6 linked regions of the Danio rerio genome follow. Each later gene encodes a partner of the first gene's protein in a complex. Links are inferred from orthologs where the notes say so. Each region holds a gene or a part of one and is shown in the gene's direction. Other genes may lie near its edges. The genes, in order: gtf2e2, ercc2, gtf2a1, polr2f, gtf2e1 and gtf2f1.

What was found.
Region 2: gtf2e2 (region 1) and ercc2 share a complex: the UniProt entries of both Homo sapiens proteins name them as parts of the TBP-based Pol II pre-initiation complex. The link is inferred for Danio rerio from reciprocal best matches to the Homo sapiens genes GTF2E2 and ERCC2.
Region 3: gtf2e2 (region 1) and gtf2a1 share a complex: the UniProt entries of both Homo sapiens proteins name them as parts of the TBP-based Pol II pre-initiation complex. The link is inferred for Danio rerio from reciprocal best matches to the Homo sapiens genes GTF2E2 and GTF2A1.
Region 4: gtf2e2 (region 1) and polr2f share a complex: the UniProt entries of both Homo sapiens proteins name them as parts of the TBP-based Pol II pre-initiation complex. The link is inferred for Danio rerio from reciprocal best matches to the Homo sapiens genes GTF2E2 and POLR2F.
Region 5: the proteins of gtf2e2 (region 1) and gtf2e1 are in contact, whole or in part, in a crystal structure (PDB 5GPY), measured with the Homo sapiens proteins. The link is inferred for Danio rerio from reciprocal best matches to the Homo sapiens genes GTF2E2 and GTF2E1. Residues at the interface, in NP_002086.1 of Homo sapiens: Asp159, Gln160, Arg161, Gly162, Leu163, Gly164, Gly165, Leu167, Leu190, Val192, Asn193, Arg194, Pro195, Ile200, Phe202, Cys208, Gln209, Phe210, Ser211, Val212, Asp213, Glu215, Phe216, Gln217, Leu219, Trp220, Arg221, Val223, Thr224, Val225; in NP_005504.2 of Homo sapiens: Arg16, Lys19, Tyr20, Val21, Arg23, Gly24, Phe25, Tyr26, Ile28, Glu29, Leu32, Arg39, Leu51, Leu52, Lys53, Phe54, Asp55, Gln58, Gly68, Asp69, Lys70, Phe71, Lys73, Thr98, Asn101, Val102, Val103, Lys104, Tyr105, Lys106.
Region 6: gtf2e2 (region 1) and gtf2f1 share a complex: the UniProt entries of both Homo sapiens proteins name them as parts of the TBP-based Pol II pre-initiation complex. The link is inferred for Danio rerio from reciprocal best matches to the Homo sapiens genes GTF2E2 and GTF2F1.

What each region holds. Positions count from the first base shown.
Region 1 is NC_133176.1:24,433,625-24,437,785, forward strand, and holds the start of gtf2e2 (transcription initiation factor IIE subunit beta), read left to right. Parts: upstream 1-1,361; 5' UTR 1,362-1,502; intron 1,503-4,161. UniProt on the Homo sapiens protein: Recruits TFIIH to the initiation complex and stimulates the RNA polymerase II C-terminal domain kinase and DNA-dependent ATPase activities of TFIIH. Both TFIIH and TFIIE are required for promoter clearance by RNA polymerase.
Region 2 is NC_133190.1:26,156,361-26,160,648, reverse strand, and holds the start of ercc2 (general transcription and DNA repair factor IIH helicase subunit XPD), read left to right. Parts: upstream 1-1,488; 5' UTR 1,489-1,675; coding exon 1,676-1,680; intron 1,681-1,815; coding exon 1,816-1,915; intron 1,916-3,540; coding exon 3,541-3,618; intron 3,619-3,810; coding exon 3,811-3,873; intron 3,874-3,991; coding exon 3,992-4,105; intron 4,106-4,195; coding exon 4,196-4,288. UniProt on the Homo sapiens protein: ATP-dependent 5'-3' DNA helicase. Component of the general transcription and DNA repair factor IIH (TFIIH) core complex, not absolutely essential for minimal transcription in vitro.
Region 3 is NC_133195.1:17,659,255-17,662,754, reverse strand, and holds part of gtf2a1 (transcription initiation factor IIA subunit 1), read left to right. Parts: intron 1-59; coding exon 60-149; intron 150-2,411; coding exon 2,412-2,519; 3' UTR 2,520-3,500. UniProt on the Homo sapiens protein: TFIIA is a component of the transcription machinery of RNA polymerase II and plays an important role in transcriptional activation. TFIIA in a complex with TBP mediates transcriptional activity.
Region 4 is NC_133178.1:1,274,214-1,277,988, reverse strand, and holds the end of polr2f (DNA-directed RNA polymerases I, II, and III subunit RPABC2), read left to right. Parts: intron 1-1,523; coding exon 1,524-1,595; intron 1,596-2,945; coding exon 2,946-3,036; 3' UTR 3,037-3,275; downstream 3,276-3,775. UniProt on the Homo sapiens protein: DNA-dependent RNA polymerase catalyzes the transcription of DNA into RNA using the four ribonucleoside triphosphates as substrates.
Region 5 is NC_133184.1:29,364,376-29,366,706, reverse strand, and holds the end of gtf2e1 (general transcription factor IIE subunit 1), read left to right. Parts: intron 1-799; coding exon 800-1,257; 3' UTR 1,258-1,831; downstream 1,832-2,331.
Region 6 is NC_133178.1:32,749,405-32,751,637, reverse strand, and holds the end of gtf2f1 (general transcription factor IIF subunit 1), read left to right. Parts: intron 1-1,020; coding exon 1,021-1,225; 3' UTR 1,226-1,733; downstream 1,734-2,233. Other genes in the region: alkbh7 (alpha-ketoglutarate-dependent dioxygenase alkB homolog 7, mitochondrial), read right to left, coding at 2,035-2,155. UniProt on the Homo sapiens protein: TFIIF is a general transcription initiation factor that binds to RNA polymerase II and helps to recruit it to the initiation complex in collaboration with TFIIB. It promotes transcription elongation.

The sequences.
Region 1 (4,161 bases):
TATATATTATATTTATAATGGCTAATAATTCTGACTTTAACTAATATAAAATGAACCCGTGGATATATATCCATGCTTTTATGCTAAACAACCAAAATTGATGCAATGAACAAACTTTTTTATGTCAGTTAAACTACCTGGGAATTGAACCCATGACACTGGAATTGCTTAAAATAAGCTTGTTAGATAAATTTATTTGATTGATTTTCATATATTATATTAATACATTATACTTTTAAAGAAACCAAAAGTTAATGTTATACATTTATGCGCTTCTTGATATAATTACATATTCAATTTTAGTTTTTAAAGAGTTAAATTGTTGGAATGTGCTAGTTGCAGGAATAATGTGCTGACAAAAAGTTGAGTATATGATCAATTGAATTCTACCAAACAGATTGTTTTTTTTTTTTTTTTACAAGAATGAAAGACAATGATTCATCATCTGTTTGTATGCCTGTATAAAAACTGGCCCTGTAAGACTGCTCTCTGAGCAACCAGGATGGAACCTGTATTTCTTCTGTATTAGTCCCTTGCTGCAAGAACATCTAGGAAAATGAATCTTCCTGAGCCTTGTAATAATTTTTGACCCTGACAAGCTTGACTGTCATCGGAAATAATTTCCTTCTTACCTGGTTGGCTTGCTCAGTGAAGGACTCAGTCATTTTAACTGTAACATTGGCATTGGCTTCTTCATTGGCACTGAGATCAATAGAGGCAACCCACTGAAAACCACAAACACAAACATGTTCCTTATTGACATATTACAGGCCAGAAGAAATGCATGAATCGATATAGTTAATGAGAAACACATAACATTGTTTTGAGTAAATTAATTATTAATAGTACTACTAAAACACGTGAAGCGTGTCTGATGACACTGAAAGGGGGGGAAATAGTTATTTTCAATAATGTGTCTTGTCTTCTGGGTTTATACAACTTACCCAGTGTTTAGCTTTGAAATACTGCACACATGCCGAGCCCAGAGCTCCTTTTCCCCCGTAAACAATCACTTTCTGTGCATCTGTAGCTGCCATTCTGTCTTCACGAGCACGAGACCGTGTTATGCAAAGAAATCAGAACATGCGCCTCCTACTGGAAAAGATGAGAAGAGCACACATAATTGTATTAGGATGGGTTGCGTATGGGTATAAGCTTAAAATAGACTTACCTTTTTTTAAAAATAATGTTTTTCGAGATTAATGTTTGAAAATAATCCATTAATGCTAATAAATATAAATGGGAACATCGCAACACATGTAAAACGATTTCTGACCAGCAGGTGGCAAAGGTCGTCTTTGCAAACTGCGCGACTACAAACAAAGAAGAAGAACACTTGTCTTCCGGAGGAAATACATGTAGTTGTATAGCATAGCTAGCGTTCTATGACAAGCTTTTCATTTTGCTTTGTCAGTAAGCTGATTGCGTATGATAATTGGAAATAATATTTAACATTCCTCAAAACTCTTTCTCTCGGAGAGAGAAGGCAGTGACAGATTCAGGTAACGTAATGCTCACAGTTTCTTTCTTTGTGGATGTATTGCTTCATGTTTGATGTGTTTAGGATGTTTCCAGTTGATACCATTTGTGATTTTAGACGATTAGTTAAGTTTCTAGGTGTTAGATGTTCACTGTGCAGTTCACTATGGAAGTATTAGCTGTCAATAAGTAGGCTTATAAATCTCAGTATGTTAGACGAGGCTAAACCTCCAACTGACCTCATAGATCTCAACATGAGCAATGTGCTTTAATATCTAAGTTAAATATGAGGAATAAAATTAACATCTGTCTATATGTGTGTCTATAAATGAAACACCAAATGTCCTTAAAATCTTTGAAAAGTGTTACATTTATTAGTGGAGACTGAATTAATAGCAGCCCCTGTTATCTAAACATACATGGGGGGAAAACTGATCACATAATCATTTACTGTAATCTATAGAAGTTAATAATAGTAATGATTAAGAAATATAAGGAACATATCACGTGCTATAGAGGTAAAGTCGGTTTTTTATTCGCACATTCGGACTTCCTCCTTAATATAATTTCATAAAAGTACTATTTGCAAACTCTAAATAGCGAAATCATATTAGCAGCCAATGATTATCAAAGTACATGTTCACAGTCAAATAAACAGTGTTCAAGTTTTCAAATTACACTTGCAGTTTATTTCAGACTGAATATTCAAGGTGCCGTGGTAAACAATGTAGGGAGTGTGTCACAAATTGCCACTGAATGAATGTGTAAATATAAAACCAAGTTTACCTTAATATATATGCTGTGGCTATATAATATGTTCATTTAAAAGTTATTGTTTAATTGAGCACTCATTCGTGGTTTTGTTTTCTTAGGTTTCATCAGTGGTGGAAAGACTACTGAAAAAATATACTCAAGTAAAAGTATCATTACTTGACCAAAGAAATGTAGTGCAAGTAGAGTAAAAATATCTGTTGTAAATATTAAATATGAGTAAAAAGTAGTCCTTTTAAATGTCCTCAAGAGTAGTGAGTATTACGCTGTTAAAAGCTGATGTATTTACCGGTACATGTAATTTGTAAATGTGTGTGTGTGTGTGTGTGAGAAAACATAACATTCTGTAGTGCATTTAGTGACAGTTTAACCAGTTAAATTCCATGGAAAGTGGTTTTGTTTGAAAGTGTAGAAGCTATATTTTATGCACATATGCATCACTTTGGTTTTTATTCTACTGTAAAAAAGTTATTTACACTTAATATCATCTCAAAAACATAGCAAGAATCAGATGCTTTGTTTCTAGTGAAGACTTAGAGAAACTTGTTCATGCTTTTATCAGCAGCAGGGTGGATTACTGTAATGGACTCCTCACTGGTCTTCCTAAAAAGACAGTCAGACAGTTGCAGCTCATCCAGAACGCTGCAGCCAGAATTCTAACCAGAACCAGGAAATCAGAGCACATCACACCTGTCCTCAGGTCTCTACACTGGCTGCCAGTTACATTCAGAATAGAGTTTAAAGTATTATTACTGGTCTATAAATCACTAAATGGCCTAGGACCTAAATACATCACAGATATGCTCACTGAATACAAACCTAACAGATCACTCAGATCATTAGGATCATATAAACTAGAAGTTCCAAGAGTTCAGTCAAAGCAGGGTGAATCGGCTTTTAGCCACTATGCCCCTCGCTGCTGGAATCAGCTTCCAGAAATGATCAGATGTGCTCCAACATTAGGCACATTCAAATCAAGACTGAAAACACATCTGTTTAGCTGTGCCTTTACTGAATGAGCACTGTGCTGCGTCCGACAGATTGCACTGTCGGACACAGATCATGTTTTTCTCTTCTTCTTCATTCTTTTATATCACATTTTACCTGTTTTTATGTTTTTTAATCAGTTTTATTATTTGTTTTTATTTTTATTTTTATTTTACTTGTTTCTTTTATTCTTGTTTATGTAAAGCACTTTGAATTGCCATTGTGTATGAAATGTGCTATATAAATAAACTTGCCTTGCCTTAAACATTGGTTCAATTTCATATTTTTCACAAGATTCATATATGACACAGGTACAAGTTATAGCTCAAATTAAATCTCTTGTCCGTGCTCATGAGGTTATAGCGTTCTTTTTAGTGAATTATATTCACATCAAACAGTTTTCGAATAAATCGCGGTATTTCCATGGCCCAGAAGTGAAAACAATACATTCATGATCAATAAGCAGCTCCAGATAGCACAGACAGCGGTCATCTCTTACCTTATGCTTTTTAGGGCCTTTCTCCTCTGTTTTTGAGGTGATGTGCATAAGTAATCCTTTTATATGTCCGACGTGGTCCAAACACAGTGAATTATGTTTGATCAAACAGAAGAATAGAGAAATATGAATACAATGATCGATCCCTGTGGCTTGTATAGCACCTCTCATCAGTTGGAATACAATAACTTTTTCATAGATTATGGTAAAGAGAGACATTTTTCTTTTTTTCCATGATTACAGACATGTGCAGGAACCACCAAAATTAATTTACTGCAACCTAGACCACACAGAACCTAAAAGGTACACTTTCAAATTTGAGTTTATAAAAAAAATACAAAAAGCAAATTTTTTTTTTTTTTTAGGTGTTTATTATAACACAGAAAACATTTATTACAGTTATTTTAAACACTTTTAAAGTGTTTCCT
Region 2 (4,288 bases), on another chromosome or scaffold:
TTTGTTTGTTTTTATATTTGATGTTACTTATTAAGCTGCGTTTTACAGGGAAGGGAATTGGGATTTTGGCTCTGTAGTTATATCAGGAAGTTTGTCATAAAGGTTTAGAAAGTATAGTTTTATTCTGTTGAGGTGAATATTGTCAAAGAATGACCCAAAATGGATTTATACAAATATTTTAATATGTCTAAACTGTGGTCTTTACCCGGCCTATGAGTACGAAGGAAATCACTTCATGAAGATGAATCTTTGTTAGGGTGAAATACTGTATATTTTATTGCATTGTAATATATGATTTAAAAATGTTTATGTAAATAAAATATATTATATAAAATATGCCCCTGTATTAATAATGAAAAATGTTCTCATTTCTTTGGTTCTTTCTCTTTTTTCCCCTCATATGTATTAAAAAATGTCATTTTAGAAGGGGGGCTTAGTAGTAGTGGCTCAGTGGTTAGCATTGTCGCCTCACAGCAAGAAGGTCGCTGGTTCGAAGCACAGCTGGGTCAGTTGGCATTTCTGTGTGGAATTTGCATGTTCTTCTCTTGTTCGCGTGGGTTTCCTCCACAGCAAGGTTATTATAGTTTTGGATTTTTTATTGGTTTTAGTTTTTATTTTGTTTTGACTTTTTGTTTTCAAAATCAGTTTTAATTAGTTTTTAGAGGTAGATTTACTAGTTTTTATTAGTTTCCATATTTTATAGTTGCTTAGTTTTGTTTATTTATTTATTTATTTTTGCACATTGGGATATTTGCTATGTACAAGATTCAAAATCAATAAATATTGTACAAAATACAATAAATATTGTAAAATAAAAACTCAACAATAATTTTTTGAAACATGTTTTCACAGGACACATGACCACTATCATCTACCACTACCACCTACTCATCTTCAAATTCAAATACAACAGCCCACAAGATAGCCTTAAGTAAAATCGTGTGCATGGCTGCCTCTAAGGTTAGACACACAGTAGTGATGGGAAGTTCAGATCTTTAATTCATTCCGCTTTAGCAACCTCTGATGAATAAAGGGACTAAGCTGAAGGAAAATGAATGAATGTAAGTTAAGTGTACTCTACTTGCTTTTCTCTTTTCTGTTTGTTTTTATTTTTTTCTTGTTTGTTTACAATGCACTCTAATTGTACCTGCTTTTCGTTTTTCTTAGCTTTTTTCATTCTTTTTTCTTTGTTTATTTAAAATACAGTATAATTTAGTGTAATCTGTGATAGGCTATATTTTTAATTGATCAAATTTTACTTTTCATGAAAAAAATACTGTTGTTTGTTTTAAAAAATCAGTCATATTTGTAGTGAAGAAAATTACAACCTACACAATTTTAGCGAAAGTTTAGTGCGGACTTCTTTTCTATATATATATTTTTTGATTAACCCCAATGGTGACAAATGTACTTCCGTCAAGGGATTGACATGACGTGCGTGTCATCCAATGAGCTGACAGGATAAGGCGGGCTTTGAAGCGAACAACCAATCAATTAAGCAAAATAGATTACGCACTTTCACTGCGACAGCGTTTTACGCTACCGAGATCGCTTGTGTACCTCGATAGAAGTCTTTTTGTGTAATGCGTTCATGACAGTTATATTAATGTGTGGAAACATACAAAACTGAATACGAGAAACACTTAAGTGCTGCAGAGAAACAATACCAGCAAACATGAAGTAAGTAAACGGTAAATTTTAACTGTTAACGTTAGCATTGCTGCAAATCTGCAGACTGGTAATGGCCCAAACCGCTGTTCATTTAACACAAGTTTTGTTTTTCCTCTAACGTTAATGTCTATTTGATCCTATTAGGCTGAATATCGACGGGTTATTAGTCTACTTTCCGTATGACTACATCTATCCCGAACAATACTCGTATATGCTTGAGCTGAAGAGGACGCTGGATGCAAAGGTATTTATACACAGACACTCATACATTAAACTAATGTTGTATCATGTAACAACATAGACCATTTTCAGGGATGTAAACCAAAACAATGGTCTCAATGTATTTCATGTTTTCCATTTGTAATGTCCATACTTTCTGAGATTTTAAAAAGAGCCATATATTGTAAAATAATGTCATGATAGCGGTTTTAACATTAAATTATGATTTAATTGTCTCATGTTACAGTTATGAAATAGTTTGAAACAAGCAGAAAATGTTCATGGGCCAAAGATATCACCACATTGAAGTGATCTATATTAACATTGTGGCTGGATGTTTTGACATAGGCCAAAAGATGCATCTATAGTTGATACACAACTAATTTAAAGTGTATTTTTTGTTCCTTCTTACAGCGTTATTTTTACAATTGAGGTAAAGTTGGTTTTATATTAGCACATTCGTTCAGTGACATGCTCCCTTTATTGTTTACCATGGTAATTTGAATATTCAGAGTGAAATCCTATTAAAGTATGACTTCAAAACAACATTAGCTATATGTTTTTAGGCAGTGAACAATGTTGTACTTTGATAGTCATGGTAATAAGATTTCCCTATTTAGAGTTTGCTAAAATATTTTTCTAAAAATATGATATTAGGGAAAAAGACTGAATGTGTGGGTATAAAACCAACTTTACTGTTTTAATTGAGATAAAGTTGGTTTTATACTCACACATTTGTTCAGTGACATGCTCCCTTTTTGTTTACCATGGTACTTTGAATATTTGGTCTGCAATCCTAGGTAAGTATGACTTCAAAACAACATTAGCAATCTTTTTTTGTATAGTGAAATGTGGTCTTAAGGTTTGCTGGTTTAAGAGTTGGTTCAGGTAAAAAGTGTAATTATAAATGTACTTACAGAATTTAATTACAGATGTAATTACATGCAGATATTTAATCAAGCATAAGTACAATGTAAAATCATATATTTACTCATTAAGTAAAGTGTAACGAATGATTCAATTTCAGTGTAAGTTCATGTTAGTAAAGGCCACTTAATATAAAGTGGGACCGAAAAATTTTCTGAAAATATTTTTAGAGAGAAAGACTGAATGTGTGAATATAAAACCAGCTTTACTCTAATATTTTTATTGAGGTAAAGTTGGTTTTATATTCGCATAATCGTTCCGTGACATCCTCCCTTTATTTTTTACCATGGTACTTTGAATATTTGGTCTAAAATCCTATGTAAGTATGACTTCAAAACAATCTTTTTTGTACAGTGAACAGTGTTGTACTTTAAAAGTCATTGGATGCTATTATGGTTTCCCTATAAATATGAATTTGCAAAGAATATTTTTCTGAAATGTATATTATTAGGGAGAAAGACCAAATGTGTGGATTTATAGGTTATCATGATGCTACTGCCCTAATTTAATTGCCCCTGGTGGGAATAATAAAGTTCACCACATCATTTTTAGTCTGATTATGAATGCATTTTTTGTAATCTCGCATTATCTGAGATGTTGGATGGGATGTTTATGTTAAACAGAGCCATGACTGAGTGAAAGTAAAAAGCAATAAAAAACAAAAAAAAATTGTTTGTCTTATGTATAGTTGTTTCATATTTTGTTTTTATTATGTGTGTAAAGGGTCATGGAGTTCTGGAGATGCCCTCAGGAACAGGAAAAACTATTTCTCTTCTTTCGCTCATCGTTGCTTACCAGAAGGTGACGGATTTTGATCGACGATTAAATATTTGAATACTTTATTAAATGACAGTCTGATGGCTTTAAAAATATCCCTGATTTATATATATAATTATATATATATATATATATATATATATATATATATATATATATATATATATATATATATATATATATATATATATATATATAATGTTTAATCTCTTACAGACTTACCCTTTAGAAGTCACCAAGCTCGTGTACTGCTCTCGCACGGTGCCTGAGATAGAGAAGGTATTTTGTTGACTGACTTGATATAGATGTTTATTACCTTTTATACATTTTTTTTTGCTTTCTAAATACACATGTCGTATGTTAATTTTTATTTTATGCATCTTTCATTTACCTGCAGGTTGTGGAGGAGCTAAGGAAACTGATGGATTATTACTCAAAGCAAACGGGAGTAAAAAACGACTTCCTCGCCCTTGCACTTTCCTCGAGGAAAAACCTGTGCATTCATCCTGAGGTAGAGGCCGCTGAATGGGCAGATTTGTCTGTGATTTCAGTAAAATCTGTGCTGTGATCTTATTAAAAAGTACTGAATGTGTGACTACAGGTGAGCTCTCTGCGTTTTGGAAAAGAAGTAGATGGAAAATGTCACAGTCTGACAGCATCGTATATTCGAGCGCAGCATCAGAGTAACCCAAAT
Region 3 (3,500 bases), on another chromosome or scaffold:
GAACTCATCTGGTTTAGTCCAGTCATAATTTGTCTTTAAATAATCTGTCTTTATTTCAGGAGCCGTTAAACAGTGGTGATGATGTCAGTGATGAGGAAGATCAGGAGCTCTTCGACACAGAGAACGTAGTGGTTTGCCAGTATGACAAAGTGAGTGTTTGCTTATCACATATCTTTAATCTGTTTTGATAGCTTGCACACATTTATATTCTTACATTAATTAATTTAAGTGCAAAAACTATTAGAAAATCTATCAAATATTTGGCATATATGTTTATATAGAAATTATAACCCTAAGTCCTTAAAGCAGGGGTGTCAAACTCATTTTAGATCAGTTTTCAAGTGTGCCGGACCCCTGGGGGGGGCCTCCTTTTACAAATAGTACATTTTCATACGACTGAACTTATACAGAACTAAACTTACAAAATGTGAAATAGTTACATTTCCTCGTAAGATCAGCTCTGTGCAGGGCTTCCCACAGGTTTAAAATATACTTGCAGTGGTAGCCTGATTGGAAAAAACCCTTTTCCCCACAGCACATAAATGGTCAACATCATGTGACAAACAAAAAATAATGTGCTTTTTACCTTGATTTTTATTTAGAATGACACTGTCATACACCTTTTCTTTTCAGTGGGTTAAAGTTATTAAATTAATAAAACATGCAGCAAATGAGAAATTAATTTAAATAAATAAAATAGACATTATTGCAAAAAATTATAATAACTACTAGAATAAAAAGTGTAGATTATTTAAATAAGGCAAATTACTTGATTAACCATTTCTAGTGGTGTACAAATATTTTGCAGCCATTATAGATGGCATTTTGTTCTCTCCGAGTATAAAGTTTATCTGAGACATTTATTATGTGAATAATCATTTAATGTTTCTCTCGCGGCTGTGCGCGCACATTCATTCAGCTGCGAAATGGTAATGCAAAAACGCATACAAATAATGACAACTTTAAAATGCGAAAGTAAAACCTGAATCCTGGACATTTTACGAGACTTAAACTATGGTCGGATGCATTTTGACGGAAAAGGCGCGTCTCAGTGGGTCTGCTGAGCATGTGAGTTTCTGTGTAAGTGACAGATTGCGCACACAGAAAACCAGCATTAGGAAACGTGCAGAGCAGGGGAAGATTTTCCATTTTCAGGACCTGTTTAACATGTTTTAAATCTCTTTGACTTTCATTTTTCTGTTAAAAACAGAGGATCGTTTAAAAAAAGCTGGAAACCTGTAACCCTTGATTTCTATGTTTTTTTTTTTTTTATGGTCAATGGTTATAGGTTTTCAGCTTTCTTCAATGTCATCTTTTGTGTTCAACACAAGAAACTCGAAAGGTGTAGAGCCACTTTAAAGTGAGTTAAGTTTTTTTTTTTTTTTTTTTGAGTGAATTATCGCTGTCAACACTATGGCATATTACATTATTGAAAATGTTCAATTGACAAACTTTTGGATTGCATGATTTTATTAGCAAGATTAGTCATTGCACAGTGAAAAGTCTTTTTGCCCTTTTCTGTAAATATTGACAAATTTCTGATCCTCCGATTGTCAAATATGAGATAGAATGGTGCTGCTGTTGTTGCTAGAAAGGATACTGCTGCGATCGGACGTTAACGAGAAGTATTTATATTTATTAAATTCCGCATTGAGTGCAGTTTATTAGCTAGATGGGATACAGCTGAGTATACTCATCAATATAGCGTAATCTAATACAATTGTATTTTATTAGATTATGCTATATTGAGTATCCTCTGCTGTATCCCATCTAGACTTCACCATGCTGCAGGAGAGGGTGAAGTCTAGATGGGATTCAGCTGTGTAAACTTGTTTCAATATAGCTTAATTTTGACACTGTACAACAAATACTATTTTACATTAACTTTACAAACTTTGAGGTTTGGGTCTAGGGTTGAGAGGGGTAGACGCTAATAAAATACAATTAATACATTGTGTGATTTGATAAATAATATTAACACTTCTCGTTAACTTCCGATCGCTGCTGGATTTGTCATGTTTATTAATAATTTTCTGCCAAGAAAATATTCTAGTAATGTAAACAGTTTGTATCTTAGGTGAATAAAGCACATCGTCCAGTTATATTGAAATATAATTATTATTGCCGTCTTCATAGACATCCACGTCTATTTTACAAACTTTACTTGGTTTGTTTTGCTTGTAATTATGTGTATTTGAATGTCTGAAACCTAAAAGAAATGTTATTTGTTTGAAAGCACAGGTAAATTGTGATTTATAATTAGTGCTGCGCTCCTTTTCCAGTGCTATAGCACCCGCCATCAGATTTAAATTTTAGCAGTCACACCGGTGTGATCATACGCATGAAAGGGTTGAAATCACTGTCCAAAAGTCCCTGAAATTTATTTTTGTTTTTCTTAATCTATGCTTCAGATTCACAGAAGTAAGAACAAGTGGAAATTTCACCTGAAGGATGGCATCATGAATCTGAACGGACGGGATTTTGTGTTCTCCAAAGCCATCGGAGACGCCGAGTGGTAAAAAGCGGGAAAGACAAGAGAACAAAAAACCCAAAAACTGCCTACTTTTTAAGGCAAGACACATCGAGACCTGAAACTGTACATTTCAGGAGATTCCCCACTTGGGGTGCTGAAGAGTAACGTCCCAATGCTACTGTGCTGTTTGAGTGATTTCTGCACACAAATAACTTGTGCCATCCATGAGATTTCTTTTTCTTTTCCCCTTCTTTTTTAAAAAGACTACTCTTTTACCTGTAAAAAAAAAAAAAAAACTCAGTCCATAATATCTCCTTTCCAAAAACATCTACGCCCCCTCAGATGAAAATGTTAGGCGCAGGGAGCCGATTTTAGCGTCAGACGCCATCTTAAGTAAACAGATTTGTCAACAGCCTTTTCACAGCAATCGTACGTGTTTGGTGATTTCCGTAAATCTGAATCCTGTGTAAAGCGAATCACTATTGGTCGCCTCATACAAACACTAAAACAATCCAGCAAGAGCTGCGTTCCAACAATTCCCATTAATAGATGCCATGTTTTTAGACCTTTGTATGTTCAGCAAAAGAGATACCAATGAAAGCAGGCAAGTTGAGCGCAAGTTGTCGATCTCACAAAGCTGTTTGCGTGTTTATGTCTGTCATGGGTTTTTCTAACTCTGCTCTGTCAGTCTGATGCATGTTTTTGGGAGTTGATGCATCACAGGGTGCTTTGGTGTGTTTTGTGTGCAATCTTCTGCGTTTGGTGTCTATGAAGTGCTCCATCAGGCCGCCCTTCCTACTTTCCTCCCAGTCAGGCTTATTTTACGCATTTCTAGTCGTTCGTATTTATTCCCGAAGCTCAGGCAGCGTTCATATTTCGGGGGGGAAAAGACACCGAACTGTGCTCTTAATGAAAGAAGTGCTCCTTTTTGGCCCTGAGGAGGATTTCCGCATGTGGTTCTGTGCATTGTGGAGTTACCCTAGGGTTTGTTTTAGTCCCTCCGTACTTGTTTTATCTTGCGTAGTCT
Region 4 (3,775 bases), on another chromosome or scaffold:
GTTTACACTAGTACGTTTTAGTTTGAAAATACATACATTTTGCTATGGTTACGCCATCCGTCCACACTACACTGGAGTTTTAGAGCCCTAAAAATGGAGCGTTTTGGAAACGCTGACGATGCCATTTTCATTTTAATACACTGCTGCTCTGTCTCAGTTTGGATGAGGGAAAATGGAGACATCTGAAAGCAAAGACAGGGCTGCAGACATTCGCCTTTCTGATTGGGGCTTTTCCTCAGTATTAAGTAGCCTAAACACAGTTCAGTCCTGCATCCTCTCCTTGTAAGTTCAGATTTTACAAGTTTAATACGAAAAACAGACTCCCGAGGACACGTCAGGCAAATCTTCAAAATTCCTCAGAGATTTTGCTCCATATTGTCATGATAGCATCACACAGTTGCTGCAGATTTGTCGGCTGCACATCCATGATGCCAATCTCCCGTTCCACCACATCCCAAAGCTGCTCTATTGGATTGAGCTCTGGTGACTGTGGAGGCCATTTGAGTACAGTGAACTCATCGTCATGTTCAAGAAACCAGTCTGAGATGATTGAGCTTTATGACATGCTGCGTTATCCTGCTGAAAGTAGCCATCAGAAGATGGAGACACTGTGCTCATAAAGGGATGGACATGGTCAGCAGCAATTCTCAGGTAGGCTGTGGCGTTGATGCTCAATTGGTACTAATGGACCCAAAGAAAATCTCCCCCACACCATTACACCACCACCACCAGCCTGAACCGCTGATACAAGGCAGGATGATCCATGCTTTCATGTTGTTGAGGCCAAATTCTGCCCCGAGCATCCGAATGTGTCAACAGGAATGGAGACTCATCAGAGCAGGCAACGTTTCTCCAATCTTCTATTGTCCAGTTTTACTCGCTTTGACCTGGAGCAGATCGTCTTGACCATTTTTACTCTACATGCCTGAATCCATTGAATTGCTGCCATGTGATTGGCTGATTAGAAATTTGTGTGAACGAGCAGTTGGACAGGTGTACCTAACAAAGTGGTCAGGGAGTATTTTGCATCACTAAAACTGATTGAGCTCATGTCCATGTGTTGTGCAATCAGTGGATTTATTGATTATTGTGACAGGCCTGATTGCAATGCTATTTTAATTTTTTTCCCACTTGACAACCAGCAATTAATTCTGTCAAATGCAGTCAGTCTTTTACTCTTATATGCTCAACACAGCATCTTTCTGTCTACAGGACAATTGTTTTTCTGTACATCATGGTAATTCAGCTTTACAGTCTGTAAAAGTCAGATTTTAATATTTGGCTTTAGAGGAAACCCTGTTGGACCTAATTTTAATGATCTAGTGCTTTACACAAATAGTTTTCAGTCTGCTTTATATTTAATCTGTTCATGTTCAACTTATTCATGATGATTTTATTGCTCTGTAATTTCATTCGAGCTGGATGATACAGTGATTCACATTTTGAGATGATTTAATGGTCATGTTTAGTGTTAGCAAATAATGCTGCGTTACTCATCCGTGACATCACCTTCTGTGTGACAGGATGTGTGCGCCGGTGATGGTGGAGCTGGAGGGAGAGACGGATCCACTGCAAATCGCAATGAAAGAGCTCAAGTAAGATGAAACACATCAGAAAGACTCAACCTTTATGACTATTACAACCTGTAATTATGACAGATTCTCCATTGGTTAATATGATTTATTGTAGTATATTAGTAATATATGTATTACTATTTTAAACTGACTATCATTTGTTTTGAAGGCAGGTTATTGTATAATGATGGTTTGTTCTGGAGACTATCGAAAAAATATAGCTTAAGGGGCTAATAATATTGAAAAAAAATGGTGTTTAAAAAATTAAAAAACTGCTTTTATTCTAGCCAAAATAAAACAAATAAGACTTTCTCCAGAAGAACAAATATTATCAGACACACTGTGAACATTTCCTGAATCTGTTCAACATAATTTGGGAAATATTTAAAAAATATATATATAATAATAATAATTATTCAAATATGGCCTAATAATTCTGACTTCAACTGTATGTTGGCGTTTTAAACTATAACTAAGTCATTCATTCATGTAGATCCAGATATTGTAAAGAGTGCAAACTATAATGTAATGTAATATTATTTATATAAAAATGTTTTCATTTGCATAATCTTATTTACTTTTTTTCATTATCTTATTGTTTGCACAGATGTTTTTGGCAGGCATTCATATTTGACACTGTCCTACAACATAAAATGACAATATACATTTATATTTATAAAACATAAAGACATATAACCCCATTTCATTATTCATAAATGTATCATAAATAAATTACATGAAATTAAACCCGTAAATAAATAAAAGACACTTTACAAATTATAATTTTGACACCAGACATGATTAAATTGTCTATACTAGATGTTGAATTGGACATTGTAGGTTGACTCATTCACATTTACTGAATATTGAAGCACCACCTAAATGTAATTACTGCCAGGCTGCTCTTATAATAAAACATCAGATTAAATGCTAAATACCGTTATACAATATTTTGATAAGGGGAGTACTTTGATGGACATTTTTAAAAAGGTACCACCTGAAAGAATATTAAATTATTTATTAAAAATTTAACTGAAAAATCCTATTTAACTTTGAGTATATTTTTGTGTGAATTTTATTTATTTATATTTTATATATTTGTCTCAGTAACTTTTTATTGTAATAGGAATTTGTTTTTATCATGTAATGTTTTTATGTGTATCCATTTTGCCATGAAATGGCCAAAAGTTGCTGACGTGGAAATAAATAAATAATAAATAAATGTACTATATTTTAATATATGTAAAATAATAATGAGATGTCCTGTTTGAGATAACTGCATTATACACACCTTATTCATTAGATGAACACAAAAACATGCATTTCTGAAAACATTTATTTGTGTGTTTTAATCATATTTGTGTTTTTCAGGAGCAGGAAAATCCCCATTATCATCCGCCGGTATCTGCCTGACGGGAGTTATGAGGACTGGGGCTGTGATGAACTCATCATTACTGACTGAGACACACACACAGACATGCACACACGTCATGATCTACATCTGATCTGTGTGATTTCAGCACTGGGTTACAGTGTGCAGGTGTCTTTATGTTCAGCAGTTGTTGTGTTTGTCCACAGGAGGGCAGTAGGAACACACTGAAACACCAGAGAAAAGAGGAAGATTTCACTCACAATGTCATAATTTAATGTTCATTTTTGTTTTTATTGTTGTGCAGAATTAAACATTTTTGTAGAAAAGAATACTCTGTGCTCTTGTGTTTCTGTGACATTATTACTGGATCCATGTTGAATGCCAAGCATTTTACTTTGTACTAACAATTGGTTGCAAACCTGGTCAGTTTAATGTCAGTTTTATTAAAATAATTAGATTTCAAAGAATAAATGTTTTTTATTTATGTGTAGTGCTTAATCAATGGTGAAGTTTAGGATTTTAAAAATATATATTTTACATTACACATACAGAATAGTATGCAGTATTTGTTTTTGTTTTTTTAGTCAGTGAGCTGGTTTTAAATTATACTTGATGCTGAAATAAAAATTAGCTTGTACTGTATCTGTGGCATATTGTTTTTAAAAATCGTTTCCAAATACCGTATTTCATCCTCCATTTTATTATAGCAGATGCACATTTTATATATTTTTAAAGAATTTATTAACTTGTATGATCATTGTACTACAAGTGTGTTATAGTTCATTTATTGTTATGATTTAATATGTGAAGAAAACTTCGCGCCATAAGT
Region 5 (2,331 bases), on another chromosome or scaffold:
TAATCATACAAACAATGCACGCAACGGCTCACACACACTAAAAAGCCTACATAAACACAATCATAATGACACCACAAACATGTGCAACAGTCTAACAAACATATAATTTTATTATTATTTAATATTAACCTTACCTAATGAGACCGGTGGGCGGAATGTAACAAGCAAAAGTAACAGCATATGTCATTAATCTAATGTAAAAACCCTCAGGGTTGCAATCCAATGAAAAAAAATGGAAATTCTTTTTATTTTTGTATTTTGTATTTGTATTTTTAATGTAACTTTATTATCTTCTGTAAGTTATGGATTAACAATGGTAATTTTAAAAGTTTAATCAAATTTGTTAGACTTTTGGAAACCACCAAGCGACCCCAACTTTGCCAATCACTGCCTTAAAACATGCCCAGTTTTCCAAAATAAGAGTACCACATAGATTAGAAATATAATAAACTGTGTTATACTTAAAAAAATAAGGGGTGATAAATGATAATTTCTTAATATTGATCCCGTGTGAATCTACAAATGAGCAAACAAATGTAACATTATTGATTCTTGTGTTCATCATCAGTAGCTGGTCTGAAAGTTTTGAGACTTTGGAAAGATTTGAGAATTGGACTTGGAGCGAAGGGAAGATTGTCTTTTGAAAAGCTCTGAAATTACAGCCTGTTTCTTACCCAAAGCTATAGCAGAGCTTCAGAAAGGAATTGGATTTAGAAAGTGTAGCAAAAATTGGAATTCTACAAACAAAGAAGCATCTGAAATTGTCGTCATTTTTCTTCCAATTTTTTTCTCACACCAGCTGGCGAGGACTCTGTAGTAACCCAGGAGGGAATTACTGGAAGGGGAGCCGCGCAGGATGAGAATGAGGAGGTGATGCTGGCTCTCCTCATTCACGAGAAGAGGAGTGGAGCTGGTCCAGGAGGTTCCGCCGTCTCCAGACCAACTGTTCCAGCCGCAAACGCCAGTGACTCTGACAGCGATACGAGCGAGTCGGACGAAGACTCTCCACCACAGGCTCCAGCCCACACGTTGCACAGCACTACATCCATGCGGCCAGGAAAACAAGACGAGGAGGACGAGGATGATGACGATGAGTTTGAAGAGGTCGGAGATGACCCTGTGGTTATGGTAGGAGGAAGACCCTTCTCTTACAGGGAAGTAAGCCAGAGGCCAGAGCTGGTGGAACAGATGAGCGCTCAGGAGAAAGAGGCGTATATTGAGATGGGCCAAAACCTCTTCCAGGACATGTACTTCTAAGTTCATCATGCTGGCTAGCTTCTCGTTCTGTCTGTATCTCACTTTTTTCCCCACAGGATACAAGGATACAATCTGTTTCCTTTGCACACTTCATATCTAATGGTGTTGTGCGGTGTGCCAGAGTTGAGAAATGTAGTGTTTTACCAGTTAACTCTTGTTCTTTCTCACTCCCCTGCCATATTCCCATACAAAACTACTCCGGTGCCAATGATACCGCAGTATCACGGTTGTAAACAAGAGTATCATACATTGGCAAACACTCACATTGCTAGCTTTCCAGTTTGTTTGCCGTTTTGTCAGATTCGGAGACTTCCATTTATATAACAGTGTTGCCGCAGTAACCTCTGAGACGGTTTAACCTCCTTTAAACCAAGGATTTTCTGACACGAATGACTTTTGAATGACAGAAAGTGACAAACTGTGGTATTTGCTCAAAGCTACCTACCAAGGCGTTTTCTCATCTTCTTGCTTTCATGTTATTTTTAATGGCTCTTTTTCCTCAGCAGTATTTAGCAAGACTCGCAGTTTGAAAGGAAAGACAAACGATCTTCATGCGGCTGGCTTCCTTAACGCGATATTGAATGAGATTTAATGAGAGATGTTTGTTTAAAGTGTGATTGCTTTCCTTTCACAGCAGAAATGAGCACTTTTTTCTCTGATCTCTGCCTCAGTGGACATTATTCACTTCAATTTGTTTGTCCTTAAGTAGAAAAAAGGATGTTTTTTCAGTTTGTTAGACCATTTACTGTAATAAAAAGCTGAGTGTGAAAACTGACAGTGTTCATAAATATATGTTTGTGAAAGATGAATATTAGTTTCATAAACTGTTATTTCACACAAATGTATTCACAGAATGGTTTATTTTGTCTAGGATGGAAAAACAGGTTGCTTTCGCAGTGACCGTGTCCAAAAAAATGTTTGAATTGACCTCTCATGGTGTGATCATGTAATTGAATTGGGAACAGAGTCTCTGGGGATGTGCTTTGGTGCAGCTGCGGATGAGATGATGCTTGGATGAGACTGTGCGGGAGATCAAATCTGTGGTGCGTTGACGTGCAGCCAAAGAGAAAAGCG
Region 6 (2,233 bases), on another chromosome or scaffold:
CTAGCTATGTTTCCTTCCAAAAATGTGAATTAACTTTATTCGCACACCTTTTATGCGATATTCTAGTTTTGTGCATAAAGCAAAGTTTCCATCCAACAAGTCAAACAAATCAAAATTGTCACTTCCTAATTAACTGGCGTCAAATATCAAAAGTAAAAGGAACTTAATTTCCTGAGGTATGAGAAGCTGTGTGAATCTTTTACTTAATTAAATAAATGACTTGTGCCTCAGAAGATGATGCTGACACGCAGTTAACGCACAGCACAGACACTCTTAGCAGTTCTGGAGGTAATATAATAACACTAATACTGAATTGGTTAGGGTGTTTCAGACTGACCAAAATAACATTTCATGTTTTACAGTGTGCTAAGCCTGCTGGTTTGTCGACTCACACACATCTTTTATCATCACATAATCAAAATCAATGACTTTTTTTAATGCGCATACTAAAATTTGTTTAGTGAAAGTCTTTATACGCATTTTTTCTTATCGAATAAAAAGTTATTTTTATTTAACTCTTTAACTTCTTATCTTGGCGTTTTTTATTTTTGGCGTTTTTTACGTTTTTTATTTTATGTGCATGTTGGATATGCGTATAAATAAAAAAAAAAAGTGGATGGAAACATAGTTACTGACACATTTATTTCACAGTCAGCACTGTAAAGCTGCTTCCGTTTAACCAATAACTTTTGTAAGGGACTAAATAAATGTGAGCTGATTGGAGGGTCAGAGTTACATTGCTATGACTATATTTACACATCCAATTGCTACTCCCAGCAATGTTGGAAATGTTTTGCTGAGTATATTGCTGAATGGAAAAAGCAAAGAATGAAATACTTAGCTTCAATTATATCAAGTCTTTAACAGTATGTCACTGTGTATTAGACCTACTTAATGTAGCAACACATTACACCAACTTTTTCCTTTCAAATTTTCAAAAGCACTGCCAGAGTTACTGACCATTTTAACTCTTGATTATTTCAATATTGTAAATAAAATCCTTTTCTCTCTCCCCTTTAGTGATGTGCTGCTGACAGAGGATGCGGTGCGCAGGTATCTCATCAGAAAGCCCATGACCACTAAAGACCTGCTGAAGAAGTTCCAGACTAAACGCACAGGCCTCAGCAGCGAGCAGACGGTCAATGTGCTCGCGCAGATCTTAAAGAGGCTCAATCCAGAGAGGAAGAACATCAATGACAAGATGCACTTCTACCTCACTGAGTGAAACTCTGAGCATCCATCACCAGCAGCCTCGCCTTCAGGAATGCAGCTCATTTTGGTGAACACCTTCTTTGTTTTGCTGTCATTTTGCTTTTAACAGTCCAGTGTTTATTTACAGTAGTCATTAAACTGCTGCTCATTGAGTTAAAGCTGAGAATACCGGAGGTCAAGAGTAAAATGACAAAGAAACGTTGCAAAGAAAGATAGCACAGTGAGTTTTTGTATATTGTAGATATGGGAAATGTGTGTTTGTAAATTTCACATTTATGCATCTTAATGAGAAGCTGGTTAATGTTTTTCCAAGAAAGAAATTAAATAAGGACTCAGAAAATGTGAAGATGTGGCTTTTATTACACACTCATTTGTTCTCATAGATTTTTTTTTTAACTGGCTTAACATTGTGCTGATTTTAAAAAAAAAAACTGTAAAAGGTACCACATTTTGCTGGCGCTTGCCCTTCGTAGTATGTTAAATCTGTTCTGAAATAAATACCTATTTGTTTTTATTTGAAATTTGATGCTCTCTATGCAATAATGATTTATTATTTGAGAGGAAAGTTAATAATGGATACAAAAATTGACATTGTACATAGAAGCAGTTGACTGGTCTCATCTTTTTTCATACTCCATTTATATGATAAATTACATGAATCTGATCTATTCCCTTCATAAATTCTCCAGAGGCTTTAGTTCCCCCCAAATAGTCTCTTTTTTGTGGTTATTCAAGGAAAAATACATCAGACTGAAAATTGAATCAACAGAGGTCTATTTGGTTTTCAAGACAGGTGCTATGATCAGTCCAGCCTCAGTTGTTTTACATGGGCAGGTTTCGGCATATCACAGAGATGCGGCGATGACGTGGAACCTTCTGTCCAGAGAAAAAGGACTCTTCATCTTTTAAGATTTCATGGGTGAATTTAAATCGTGCATCATCCCTGTTGATTTAAAGTAGTAGTGTTTTAGAGGTAAAATTACTTCATATTCTATGATAACAGAAATTTTATTTAGTTCTC